2 linked regions of the Drosophila melanogaster genome follow. The protein of the gene in region 1 purifies or fractionates together with the protein of each later gene. This does not show direct contact. Each region holds a gene or a part of one and is shown on either strand. Other genes may lie near its edges.

Evidence for each region. The genes of interacting proteins can lie anywhere in the genome.
Region 2: the proteins of vkg (region 1) and Ndg purify together in Drosophila melanogaster (affinity purification with western blotting, with the first as the bait; one study listed by BioGRID). This does not show direct contact.

Annotation. Positions count from the first base shown.
Region 1 is NT_033779.5:5,023,755-5,031,597, reverse strand, and holds the start of vkg (viking), read left to right. Parts: upstream 1-3,406; 5' UTR 3,407-3,479; intron 3,480-4,152; exon of another isoform or gene 4,153-4,300; intron 4,301-4,376; 5' UTR 4,377-4,468; coding exon 4,469-4,561; intron 4,562-7,843. Other genes in the region: Col4a1 (collagen type IV alpha 1), read right to left, coding at 1-743, 808-856, 1,361-1,380.
Region 2 is NT_033778.4:10,312,231-10,318,538, reverse strand, and holds the start of Ndg (nidogen), read right to left. Parts: upstream 4,649-6,308; 5' UTR 4,266-4,648; coding exon 4,035-4,265; intron 2,139-4,034; coding exon 1,659-2,138; intron 1,564-1,658; coding exon 802-1,563; intron 696-801; coding exon 72-695; intron 1-71. UniProt on the Drosophila melanogaster protein: Cell adhesion glycoprotein which is widely distributed in basement membranes. Involved in cell-extracellular matrix (ECM) interactions probably by connecting the laminin and collagen IV networks.

The DNA.
Region 1 (7,843 bases):
GCACCAGGCTTCATGGGTCCGTAGCAGGAGGCACCCTTCTCTCCCTTCAGACCGTGCTCACCCCGGGGTCCTTTGGCTCCGTAAGGTCCACTGTCGCCGCGCTCGCCCTTTTCTCCAGGAAATCCTTGTGGTCCAGCCAAACCGGCAGTCCCCCTCCAACCGGGCTCACCCTTCTCGCCCTTCGCGTAATCACCGTTCTCCTTTGCCGGTTCACCCTTCTCGCCCTTGCTGCCAAGCTGGCCGGCATATCCGCGAGGTCCGGGCATTCCGGATAGACCCTCCAAGCCAGGAATACCATCCTGTCCGTCGCAACCGTCTTTACCGTTGATACCAGGGGCTCCGGGATTGCCGGCGGGTCCCTGGACTCCGGGTACACCAGCCTGACCATGAAGACCAGGCGATCCGCGCTCACCCTTATCACCACGCTGTCCGTATGGGCCGGGATCACCCTTCTGACCCTTGTCACCAGATGGTCCCTCCATGCCAGGGAAACCCATTTCGCCCTTCAATCCCGTGGGTCCAAGAGGGCCCGGCAGACCACGGTTGCCCTTCTCCGCTATGCACTTGGGCACACAGCCCGCATATCCGGCCGTACAATTCTTGGGCGGCAGATCGCCGCGCGCCACGCCGGCAGAGTCTACAATGTCGTAACTGTCGTCGATTGGGAACTTGGGTTCATTTCGATTGTAGTGTTTCACGGAGTCCTGAATCGAACCGGCCGTACCAGCCGTCTTCCAAAATTGCTGCGGGGAAAAGGAGTATATTATTCAATGTCCAGATGGATGGCATGGGCTACGGTTATCTTACAGCGTCGGCACCGACTAACGCTCCCGCGATCACAGCGGCGTATAGCAGCCTGCAAAGAAGTCGACGAAGATCAGGAGGGTTAGGAACTGTGCTTCGTCTTATCAGTCTAGCTATTTAATTGGACATAGCTCTCTTCGATTGGCAGCTCTCTCTTAAGCCGTCAATTCAAGAGAGTTTGCTAAAGGCGCTTAAGAGAGAGCTTACAAGTTTTTAAGAGATCGCGCTTCGAAAAATTAAAAAAAAATTGAACAAATGTGATGTTTTAAATTATGTATTTTTGTATTGCTGATATCTAAAATATTAATTTAAAAACTAATATTTGCTCTTTCTGAATGGATTAGAAAGAAAAAAATTGGCAATACTTTTTTAGGCCATAACTGGGTTTTAATCATTAAAAATTTCAAAAAAATTTTAAATTTTTAAATAGAGTATTATTAGTTGTTAAGTAAGTATTATTGTCATGGTTTTTAATAATTAACAATTGCTTTCTTTGATTAACTTAAATTTTTGCAACCATTTGTATTATTTTTCTAACTTTTGTCATTTTTCTTACCGCTTCCAGAAGGGCAACATGATGCCCTATGCACTTAAGCCTGCACAATTATTTGCTCTGTCCTCGTCGAATTTGAAGTTTATATGTTGCCGTCGCTGGGCCTGGAAAGATGAGCCAGAGAATTGGGCACTTTAATTTCGCAACAGTTGCAAAATAAATTGGAAATATTCTTAGAGGAATATTATTTTATTTAATATTTGTGGGAAAATCGAGCTGGCTTATTTTTTTTCAACGATTTAATTCTTGTATTTCGTTTCATTTCATTTCCAAGCATATACACGCGACAGTTTGAGAGGCACTGGAACTGGTACGAGACTCGCACAACGACTTGCTGGATATTTTCAATTAATAGTACGCGTTCTTCCTGATTTAATTAAGATATTTTATGTTTATATTATTTTGTTGTTGTAAAAGCTCAGTTCCTTACAGGAATCAAATCCTATTTAAGGGACGGTTGGACGGGACGGGACGGGACCCTAATGGAAACACACATTCACAACCGAGCGATCCGATCCGAACCGATCACCACTCCACAGCGCTGACTAAAGACTAAAACCAGCTGGCCAGATCAGCTCCGGACCGAGACCAGACTACTACTTACTCGGGGAGACGGAACACGACTAATTATAGTATAAGTTCGAGCGATCCAAAAGCCAAACGCCGATGCCCCGATCTTCACTCGTCGATCGTTCGGCTTGGCACGATCTCGACGATCGGGTCTACGGCTCATGTACACTATCCGTGTGATTCGACGGGGATTGGATGGGCATCGGATCGGTTGCGATGGCTGCGAGGTGGCTGGTGGGAGGTGGGTGGTGGCACCATGGCATATAGAACGGATGGGCGACGGGTCGTCGTATGTAGCAACACTAATCCCACAAGTTAACATAGTCGCTGCGGAATGAATGAAACTTGGCGATAAGTCCGTCGCTGCTGTTGATATGCCACATGCGACTTAAGTTGCTCAATAGCACATCAGCTTCGTTCCGCCGGAGCACCTCCCCGGGAGCACCTTCAACCAGCTCTCCGGCTCCCAGATCCCAGCTTCCAGATCGCAGCTACCAGCTCCCATCTCAAAATTAGCTGATAGCCCCCGCCCTGAGATCGGGCACATGGCTTCCGTTTTGGTCCGCCCCTGCGGCTCCTGCTTTTTGGACTTTTTTCGGTGCTCGGGCAAGGGAAATTCCGAAGGCTTCGCTATCAGGCCAATGTTCTAATTATAACCTCATCAAAATTTTGTGTGTACTTACAATAAGTATGATAAAAATATCTAAAACTTAAAGGATAACAAAAACATGTGTAAACATTTTATTGGCATATACTTTACTTTTAATAGGATTATAGTCCTTTTCTAAGTTTTAAAAATATTCTCTAGCTTTCAAAACTGATATAATTAATTTGACAAAGGTTTTGAAGATTAAATCTCTTTTTAAGCTTTACTTGGTATATTTTTATTTGCTATATATAACTGATTATTCAAATCATTCCATTCTTTTCTAAAACAAAATATTTTAGTTTGATTGATTTTAGTATGTCGATGCAATTATTGTTTCAAAGAATGGTCTTTTTTCGATTTTTTTTGTATCTATCTACGCTTTATTAAAACTAAATGTATCTTAAATGAAATTTCATTTTAAGTGCCAAGTTTTATACATACTTAAAATAATTATTGTTATTTAATTAATAATAATTATTGAGATCCATTCATTTTGATAGTAAGTACGACATAATACTTACTAATACCGCTCTAAACATAAATTAATAAGATTTTAAGTTGCCGAAGTGCGACATCATTTAATATCCTAATCACAGCAGTTTCCTGAGAAGACATATATTCAGGCCACTGGGCCATATCCGACTTGCACGTACCCTAGAACAAAAGAGCTTTCCCAACTAGAACGAGGCCTTGATTATAGCCGCCCTATCAAGACTTATTTCAAAACACTGTGGCCCCGAAACCCAAAATCAGGCTCGAATTTCGAAAGGTTCCCATTTGGCTTTTCTGCGTCGGACTTATTGGAGCTTAAAACTCATGTTCGGTTTTCAGTTGATCAGTAGTTCGTTCTAACAGGAAATACTCAGCCATATCCGTCTTATCAGCCTCACATATGCCATATATGTAAGTACTAAATGAAAAAGCCTTAACCTAATCACGAGAAGCGCGACAAACAAACTAGCATCTAATTGTATTGAAATCACTAGGATAGCTGGGATTGAGTATTAGAATAGCTTTTACCCCGCAAGAAATATCGTGTGTCGCTAGTTGGAACTATCATTTAAGTTATATGCGGATGGTTATTATGTATAAATGGTATGTGCCTGTTAGTAATAGTTAGTAATAGTAACATTAATTAATAAATTATTTAATAATTTGTATTTTCCCAAGAGACGTGCCTAATAAAAAGAACAAAGTGAGAATCTGATTGATCATACCCCTTCAGGGATACGGTACCAAAATGGGAAATAGAATTTGTATGCTTAGAATCGGGCCGCTTTGATTTGGTTAGAGGGCTCTGCTCCTCATTTCCTCGTTTCAAGGCGTCAAAGTGCTAAATTCCGAACCATAACCAGAGCCCGGAGTCACATCTACATCCAAACCTCCATCCAAATCTCCATCCAAAACATCCATCCGGGCCTGTCCCTGGCCTGTGCCTACTACACTCACACTGCTGCAACTTCCACTTGCGATAGTATTGGTGGGCCGAGAGCCGATCGCGAACGGCCGAACTTTTACGAGTGGAGCCGAGCGTGCCGAGTGTGCGGGCGAAGAATTCGAATTTCTTTAGCGGGACTCGTGTTTAGTAATACTTCGAACGCTAGACGATCTCCACATGTGGGGAGAGTGCTGTGCCCGACGATCGCAGCAGCAGCAAATCAGCGTTTTCTGTTAGTTTCCCACACTTTTCCGATCGTCAACTCTTTAATACTTGATTTGCTAATGTCGGTTTTATTTGAGGGCATTTTATAAGAATCGAAAATTCTTCAATTTCTAATTTTATGCTTATTTCGTTGGCAGTTTCGTGTGTGTTTTAAGCGGGGAGAGACAGAGGCAATTAGATAGAGTGCGACATAAATACGTTGCGGATAGGACCAAAGGACCCAGCGAGGATGTTACCCAGAGATCTAAGGCATCTCTCGGGTCTTCTGGGCGTCGTTTATCTGTTGGGCAGCCTGGTTTCCGTTACCTTGGCGGATGGAAAGGTAAGTGCAATCGAAATGCTTAGTATAATATCCAAAAATTGACAGCTCTTTAAAGACTTGGATTGAGAAATGTATAGATTGTAGTGCAATAACTTTTTTCAACTTTTTTTTATGTCTTAAAACAACTTAGGAAATGATATTTAAAATAAGGCTCTTACTATTTAAAGTGCTTCTCAGACCATAACCGTTTGAATTTTATGAGATTGCTAAATACTAACCAAAGTGCTTGTCAAACTGTATATGCCTATTTCATTAACGCAGCATTTTTAAGTTACTTGAAGCTTATAACAATAATATTCTTAATTAACTTTGAAAGAAAATTATCATGTCCACCAATGCTCTCCAAACTGTATCCGTAGTCATTGATTTCGCATTTACATAGTATCAACCATAAACAACTATGTAAAATTGGGTCAGCTCGGAGCTCGACTCTTAATCACCGCTGCTATTGTTATTGTTATTCTGCAGCACTGCACTCTCTGATTTATTCACACTTCCGGCATGAAAACATCGCGTAGTTGCAACTCTTTGGCTTCGACAGATAATTCCTTTCAGCTCGTTCCCGATTCCGGGGGTTCAATGAAGTCCAAGTCCAGCTTGGGATCGATTATGTCATTAAATAATTTTGGCAACATAATTTTGTAGGTGAAGAGGTTGGCGATAACGCCCATTGATAACCCCCCTAATCTTTCAATTTGGAGGACATTGCTTTTTTGGCATACCAATTGTGGTTCGCCATTGAACGTTTCCGGCTGGCAATTAGAATTATATTTAATAACCGCCAGATTAGTCGCTTAATTGGCATATAATCATTTGTAAAATGAAACGGGAATGAGTATGAAAAACAAAGAATGCGCAGGTTCTTAGTTATTACCCCAATTGAATAGATTATTATTCAAAATAAGACACATTAACCATTGAGGTTGCGAATATTTCATTTATTTATGAATGATTTTTTAAGCAAACACAAAAATGATTTGACACAAAAGTGCGAGGCAAACGCAATACTCAATGTTGCCCCAAAAACTATGCACTACTTTTTAACACCGAGTTGCCCAATTCAGTGTACCTTGTGTATGTACCAAATTAAATTGAGTATTAATATTTAAATGGCTAGGGATCACAGAGATTTCGTAATGCTGGATGAAAAATGGAGCACATGCCGGCGGCACCTACTTTTTGATGGCATTCGGCTGGTCTTATCAGGCTGCGACTGATCTACACACATTTAATTAGACCTATTGCTATGTTGGCGGCATTGACGCCATTGATAGCATGTTCCGCTGATTGCGACATGGCTTTCTAGACTCGAATTTAGAATAAATACACTTTAGAATTGAAACAAGTGTCGCCAGCAGTCGCAGAGGCTATCGGCTTGGCTTGACTTTATTGCCTTTACCAGAGATCAGAGTTTAGTTTTCATACCAGTTGAGCAGTTAACTCAATGCACAATTCGTGCACTCAATTCGTTGGGATCTGGAAATCTGGCCCCATCGCTCACGTGTTTGCCATCATAAGTGTGCAGCTCGTCTGACGACTTTGGTAATCCGATCCACAGCTCTTTTCGCACTCGGTTACGTGGTCAATGCCATGGGCTTGGGACCCTAACTCCCGGATTCCGAGTGAGAGCTGCCAGGTCTCCAGGTCTTGTGGGTTGCCAATGGAGGACTAACCGCAAAACGATGAAAAACTTGACTTCGCTTAGCTACCGTTGCTCGTGTTACCCTCACGATAAGCGAAGGCTTACAAAAAAAGTTGTTTCACTTGCAACAGTATTTGAAAACGATATAATTAATTATATCCTGGGTGCATTAAGCTAATCTGAATAGAAGGGGATTCACATTTTTCGCTGGAATTAGTTTTGATTAGAAACACACATTGTATGTATGCCATTATTTACAATCTATAAAGAAATTTATAAAGGGAATTATCTGCTATGAGTAAGATATATTCATACTTAATGTTTTTAAGGGTATTTATTCCAGCATCATTTGAATATACTTATTAAACAGTTAACAGCTCTCAGGCAATGGCTCTAAAACTGTTCTCGCAATGGGTTTTGCAACCAGTTTGGCGCTTCATTAGCCGAACAAATGATTTCCTTTTCCGTTCCGCGAAAAGAGAGCCGATCGCTTAAGAGCCGCTTCAATCGAAGAGCAGAAGAGACAGAGAGAGATGAACTCATCGATTGCAGATGCAGCTGAGGCTTTCAATGAATGAATTTTGATAAATGGTCTTTATCAGTCGCTCTCCCCACTTTACCACTGCACCACTACCCCATGCACCCTTTCTCTTTTCTCCTGCACTTGCCCAGCTATAAATACATATATGGAAATGCCGTTATTGCCTGTGAATAAGTGTGCTCTTTCGCCAGTGCGCTTGTGTGTGTGTGCGCAGTTCGATTCCGACAATTAGCAGCAGCTCAAGTGATCGGTGAGGGGCTCTCTTGGAGAATCACTGGAATTGAAATGAAGAAGGGTTGCCGGGGTATGGCGACTTCAGGGGGTGAGGGGGTCGGCAATCTTTTGACGTTCTGCACCATTTCAAATTGGAATTGAAAGTTCTTGGCTGTTTGTTGTTTTGTTGCTTCTGCGGCGGCTGCTGCTGCCGTCCAAAGTCTTAGAAACTTCGATGGTGCACTTAGAAAAATCTTAACTACATACAAAACAATATCAAATAAATACATAATCTAAAACCTTCGAAATTTACCATGAATTCCGAAATTTTCTTATAAAAAGCTTGTAAAAATATTGTATTATATTGAATTGGTTATTTAAGAAGAGGAGTAATTTCTATCAAATTATAAAATTATGATCTAGCGGGTTTGATTATTGCCACTCAACCATTTCTTTCCGTGCACCTTCCCTTTCAGTCTTCAGTTTCGTTCTCCTTGGGTTTTGTTTATTCCCGATCCTGGTCCAAAGTGACCCGATGCTGCTGGCATAAATCACTGACCACCGCCGGCCAGACTGAGCGGGGCCAACTGGTGATGGGTGTCCAGCTGGTGGAGGGGATTTCGATCCAACTGAAGACCGCCCAAGAAAACGAAGAGCGGGGGCAGCAGCTCGGAGCTCGGACAACAATGATCATCATCTCATTGTTGGACTCCTTGTGGAAGTTTATTTGCGTGCTTGAGCTGAATTGTTTGGCGAGTTGCATTTCAATTTGACTCAATTATTTATTTATCTGCAACTGAATGCGGAAATTATGCGGAGTCTCGCTCTCTATATGTACGTGTATGTGTGTGTGTGTGTGTGTGTGCGATATGGACAACATGTCGTA
Region 2 (6,308 bases), on another chromosome or scaffold:
TATTCGTCTCTCTTCTCTACTTTCAATATTGGGAAAAATATGAAATGCAATCAAGCTTTCAGTTTACTCACGTAGCACTCGTCGGGGTGTTGGGGTATCTGCTCCTCAGGATATGGATATGGATTTGGTTGGGGATACTGATCATCTTCCCTTTCCCGCTCCTGGTCCTGTCCCTGATCGGGATACGGGCTGGGATTGGGGCTTGGTTCGGAGGTGGGTTCAGCTTGTCCCTCGACTGCTGGCGGGTATTCAATGTTGTCAGCGGTGCTGTTGGACAGACAACGGTAGCCGTTGCCCTCGAATCCCTCGGTACAGTAGCAGTTGAATCCGCCCTCCGTGTTGTCGCAAACGGCATTCTCGTCGCAAACGTGGGAGCCCGTCGCGCACTCGTCTATGTCCAGGCAGACCTCCACTCCACGCTCGTCCAGCTGGGCAGCGAAACCGTGGTAACAGTCGCACCGGTAGGTGTCCTCGTAAGGAACGCAGACGGAGTTCTCTACGCAATCGGCGGTACCATCGTTGCAGGCATTCGATTCGGGGGTCACGCCCACCTTGCTCATGGCGCCAATGCGCAGAGCCTGGTCACGCTCCACATAGTCGAGTGCCACCTTGGAGATCTTCTGCAGCACCTTGGTGGCACTGGGATCTGCCTCGTCATCGCGCAGGCAGCTGCGATACAAAATCCTTTGCTCCACCTGCAGAAAACATGAAATTAACATTTAGATATCATTTTAACATATTACTTAGTTATTATTTATTGGACACAACAAATGAACGTTGAAAGTAAGGACTTGGTCTTACCTGAAGTCCCAACACACGCTGCTCCTCGGTAATATTTATATTGAGCACCTGGACAGATTTCAGTTCTCCAGGTCTTTCGAAAGTGTACTCCTCCACGTAGTCGGGTAGGATTAGGACTGCATCCGCTGCCACCGCCGGAACCTCACCATAGATCTCGATCTTCACGGATAGCTGGTCCCAGTAGTTGAGGCCCTCGAAGGTCTGATTCACATGAAGATTCTCCCCAGAATCGAATTGCAATCGAGATACATGGGTGTAGACACCGCCGGTTAGTTGGTATCCATTGGCGACACCACCCACCGACTTGGCGAACAGCCAGGGCACGGTGGTCAGCAGTGGGAGGACCAGTCGGAGCTGGGCGCCCAGTTCGGGAGTCAGGGGATTGATGGTGGTATAGGTGCGGCCTTCGCTAGTCACCACATACGACTGCAGCTTGGCTTCCTCGCTGACTGGCTGCTTGTTTAGCTCTCCGGTCAGTGTTCCTGTCACTCGGATAGGTTGATCATTAGCCAGGCAGGACTTTCCATTGCCATAGAATCCAGATCCGCAGACACAGCAATATCCTTCGGCTTTGTCGTGGCACTCGGCCTTCTCGTGGCACTGATGGGCGTGGGCCTGGCAACTCAGAGCCAAAGCGGGGGACTCTGTGAGGGACTCGGCATTGTCGGGAGACCTCACGTTCTGCTCGTTCTCAATGGGAGCCACTTCGAACAGCCAGACTCCGGGAACACCCAGGTTGGTGCTTTCGCTCAGGAAACGGGCCTACAGAGTGGAAATGGATACATAAATACATAGGAAACATAGTCACATAGAATATAATTAGTGCTACCTAATTATAATATATATACTACACTTACATTCTCCGATCCGGAACCGTTCAAGGTGTAGAAGCGTCCATCTTCAGCCACGAAACCCGCCTGGGCACGAATGTCGGGGAGACCAAGTCCAGCTGTTTCGCCCTGCAACCAGTTAAGACCGCCATCCGGATAGATGAATTGCACAAACGTGCTCTGCTCGTTGGCAATCAGTGCCACCTGGAAGGTGTTCAGACGGTCCGTCTTGGAGTCAAAGTAGCCCACATTGCGCCACGTGGCCACGATCACCTGACGAGCCTCGAATTCAGACTGGCTGCTAAAGGCGTAACGCACCAAACTGGAGGCCCTGTCGAGAATACTTTGTTCCTTGGACTCGAACAGGGAGATCGAGGTGCCCTCATCACTGAACGAGGTGTCCACGTTCGAGTAGAAGGCCGCTATCGAAGCATATTCCAGCGGAAAGGGCTGGTTCAGGTACTCGGGAAACTCGGAGTTGAAGGTGAGGATGCCATTGGTGTTGATCTAGAGAATACATGAAAGAACTATAAGTAACACAAATAAGGAATATTCGGGAGTTACATTTAAAAGATCAATTGTCTTCGTCCAAAATGGTATTTATAAATGTTTCGAAGGCGATACTCAATTGGTGTACTCAAGGTGTTATTGAAAATGTTTTGCTTATTTCATTTGAAAGATATCAGGATCATTTTGTTAAGTGTATGGGAATAAGGAAGTTCCACTTGGGATCGTTTGAAGTGGAAATACTTGGCCTCCATATGGCGTGGCAATCAGTGCGCCCCGTGAAGTGCTAACGGGCCACTTAACTCCTAATGGCCATTCGCCTGGCGGAAACAAAACAACAACAAGCCATTAAGGAGGCGGCAAATGATCTGACGAAAGGATGTGGCCCGAGATGCATATTAAGTGATCTGCTGCAGTGCCTCCTAATTGAGTCCTCGGCCGACATCCGCCTAACGATCCGCCTAAAATTAGCTGCAACTCCATCGATGCAACAGGCAATCTGAATAAACAACCCGGAATGGGAGCACAGGTGTTTCCGAAATGCCTTTCTTGTGGTTGCCGACAGGCCGTTGCATAAATCATGTCACTCTGGTGGCTCCACGGATTCCGTTCATCGCGACGGGGAAACACGGATGTCTGGAAATTCCGGCAGCTTGCCTGGTGATTTGTATGGATGCCCAACTCCACATGGATATCCAACATGCCACAATGGGTGCTAAATTGAGGTTGGGTAAGCAAACATCAAATACTTCACTCCTGCTTAGCCTCTATTTCACACCTCAATTGTGCAAAGTATTCAAAATGTTTAAATTGTTGTTAAAATTGTTTCTATTTTGCTTAAAGTGGGTGTTGCATTTGCAAACAAAACGACAAGTCCAGATTAGGAAACAAATGATATCATGAAACATAAACACGACGAAACATAAAATAGATTATTATTCCCCTCAAATGTCATTTGTAATGAAATGCAAATTCATATCCTCGAATGATCTTTTCAATATTTTTTTATATCAACATTATTTTGAATTCTTTTCGCTTAAAGGAATCTAGGCTGGCATTGTTCTCACGATTTTGCCGACTGACTGACGGACTATTGACGAGTTTATTTATACCCTTTCGTAATGACTTCGACACCAATCCGACCCAAGCGCTTTGGAGCTGGCTGGCTACAAGCTACTGGCTCCTCCGATCATTTCAAGCATTCCGCCAAGGAATTTTCAACGAAATTTATGGATTTCTATGGCCATAAAGCTCGTTTTGGCCGTTCTGATTCTGTGCCGCGTGCTATTTCTCTACGTCAGACACATAAATTTAGTTAATTAACTAACAAAATGCAGAGCAGATAAAAAAGCGCGTTCAAAAATAGGCGACACTCGCAGTAGGCTCTCAATTCGGAGAACTCATAACTTTGGCTGCCAAGTGCCGAAACCACTCAGACACTCGGATGCCCGGAGCTCTGGCATCTGGCACTTGGCCAAGGCGGCAAAGCGACATCAATGGGTTTGGTTTTCGGTTTTTGGTCTTGGACCACCCTCAAGTGCCTGCGGATTGTAGCTGCGGATGTGTGGCACTTGAGGATTATTGGGACACGGTGCGAGTGGGGTGCGTGTGTGGAAATCGATGTGCGACCTGTCATGTTTTGCCGAAAATTAATGTCGCCTATAAATACGCGGGCACCACAACAAAGCAGGCTCCCCCAGAAATAGATGCATGGTAGTCTAGAAACTATTGAACCGCGTTGTGTTTGCATATAGATTGCCCCTTATCAACGCGTGCTTATCACCTCGTCACCCTGCACGCTGCAAAAATTCATTCAGTGCACAATATTTGAGATACTTTGTAGTCTCACATAATTCTGCATCTACTGAGGGGGGTATGCGTGCTAGGGGTACTCACATAGAGCTGCTCGTACTGCTCCCCGTAGAAGTGAATGGGCTGCTCCAGTTGCAGCACGATCGTTTCGCTGTCGCCCTTGGGCAAGAGGTGTATGCTGCCCAGGGAGCCATCCTCGAACTCGTACAATTCCGAGGCGCGCAGGCTGTCCAGATAGTGCTCGAACTGTCCGCTGACCAGGATCACCGAGCTGAGCAGCAGGCAGGCGAGCAACTTACTGCCGAAGGTCGGCATTGTGGCGGGATATGGATGGGTCCTTCCTGACTTGTGTATCTCTCTACTTCTTTGACTTTGACACGCGGGGATTTCACAATTTCGCCACTGGCATTTTCACACTAGACACAAAACCGAATTCCTAAGGCACTCAAGTTTGATCCAAAAATATAGGCGATTTATAAATAAATTGTGGCACTATCTATTCGTCGAGTATATATAGAGGTTTATGGCGTGTGTATAGTTTGACAGAATTTTGGAACTGTCGCTCCAAGTGGCGGCCCAGCTCCTCTGCTTTTGCTTCTGCTTTCTGCTTTACTTTTGGTTTCTGCTTCCTAAGCACGCGAGCAAGGAAACCCGAACGAACTGCACGGTTTGCCAACAGATTCTCGACTGATTGGCCGTCGTCTCCGCGGTGGATTCTCCTCGACTCGGTGCTCATCCGTCCGTTACCATCGAGTATCTGTGTGAGCTGCTGGCCGGAGTGCCGTTTAGTTTGTGCACGTGTGTGTGGGTGAGTGGCGGAAAGCGAGAGTTTCTCTGGAGGCCCCAGATACCATACCGAATAGGATCCACACACTGGCTGCACTCCAAACCAGATGCTGTTCGATTATGACAATTCTTTATTGATGTTTACCATCAACAGTCGTCGTTGGCATGGGCTCTCGCTTTGAAGGAGTACGTAATTATGGCCAAATAAAATAATCAGTTAACAACGGAATATTGTCAGTATGGGATTGCTCATTTATTTGGTGATATTCAGAATCAGCATTTTATCATTTTAATAGACTCCATCATATGTAAGAGTAAAGGTTTAAAATATAACGCCCATAGCATACCAACTATTGAACGACTTCATAGATGTTAGTCTTACTTTTGTTAACTTAGTCTTACCAAAGACCCTAGAATTCTAGTGTCTTTGGTCTTACCACGTATTTCGTGTTCTAAAAAGGTAGTGTTTAGTGAGATTTACAGATTCTCCGGACGATATATTATAAAACATATAACCATATGGTCACCGTGGATATAGAAATTAGTTCTCCCAAGGGAGACTTCTGGGCCGGGCTTCCGTAACACATTGGTGCTACTAGATAGTTTCGGGAGTCCCAATTCCAGGGAACTGAACTTGAAGCGGGCACGTGCCGCTTGATTGCTCTTGCCCCCCAAAATTCCCGCAGCGCATGCCACCGTGAAGCGGCGCGTGGAAAGGGCGAAGCGTATGGATACCTTCTCAACAGTCACACCGAGTCCACACGCATATCCACACCCAATCCTCAGAGGGTGATGCGCACTCCAAGACATTTGAGCAGTGGCGCCAAAACAGCTGAGTTAGAGTTTTTTCTTTAAAATGGTTTTAAACTCAGTGAAACCTGGCATATGAATTAAAATCGTGCATAGTTATTTGTTAATTTAGTTTTGGCTCAAGCAATTCGTCTTAATTTTAAATAATGTAAAAATGAAAAGGTAAGGAATAAATTGGTGCTAGCAACCTTTCTAAATAATATTAAGACTCATTTCATTTTTACATTACATTCATTCGGAATCAATATTAAAATGTTAACATTTAAATAAAAAGCTAGTTCTTAAGATCTAACATCACTAATCCAGAGCACTCCCATTCCTTGGCGGGGTGTGTGTGCGAGTCGAAAATAAACAAATGGTAAACTTCTGAGGCAGCGACGCAACGTCTGCTCCCTGACTGATGAGGATCGGGTGCGGGCGAGGAGGAGGTGGAGGAGTAGGAGCAGGAGGAGCTGGAACCCAAGATACAACTGGAACCAATGACGGGGGATGGGGGTCCGTCAGTTGGACTATTTATGATGTATTTCTCGGTTAATTAGTTGCAGCTGAATGCAGCGGAATGGGTGTGGGAATGGAATTGGGATCGGGAATGCTTCCGCATGCATTTGCTAGACATCATACCAGTCATCTTCGCCCGACCAGAAGACCAATGGAAAGTGCGTGGCCCAGGGCCCGGGTAATTTTTTGCTATATTTGGATATTGCGCCGCTTGATCGGTGATGGATGCCTGCGCCTTTTCATCTGCAGTGCGTTCCAGGAACT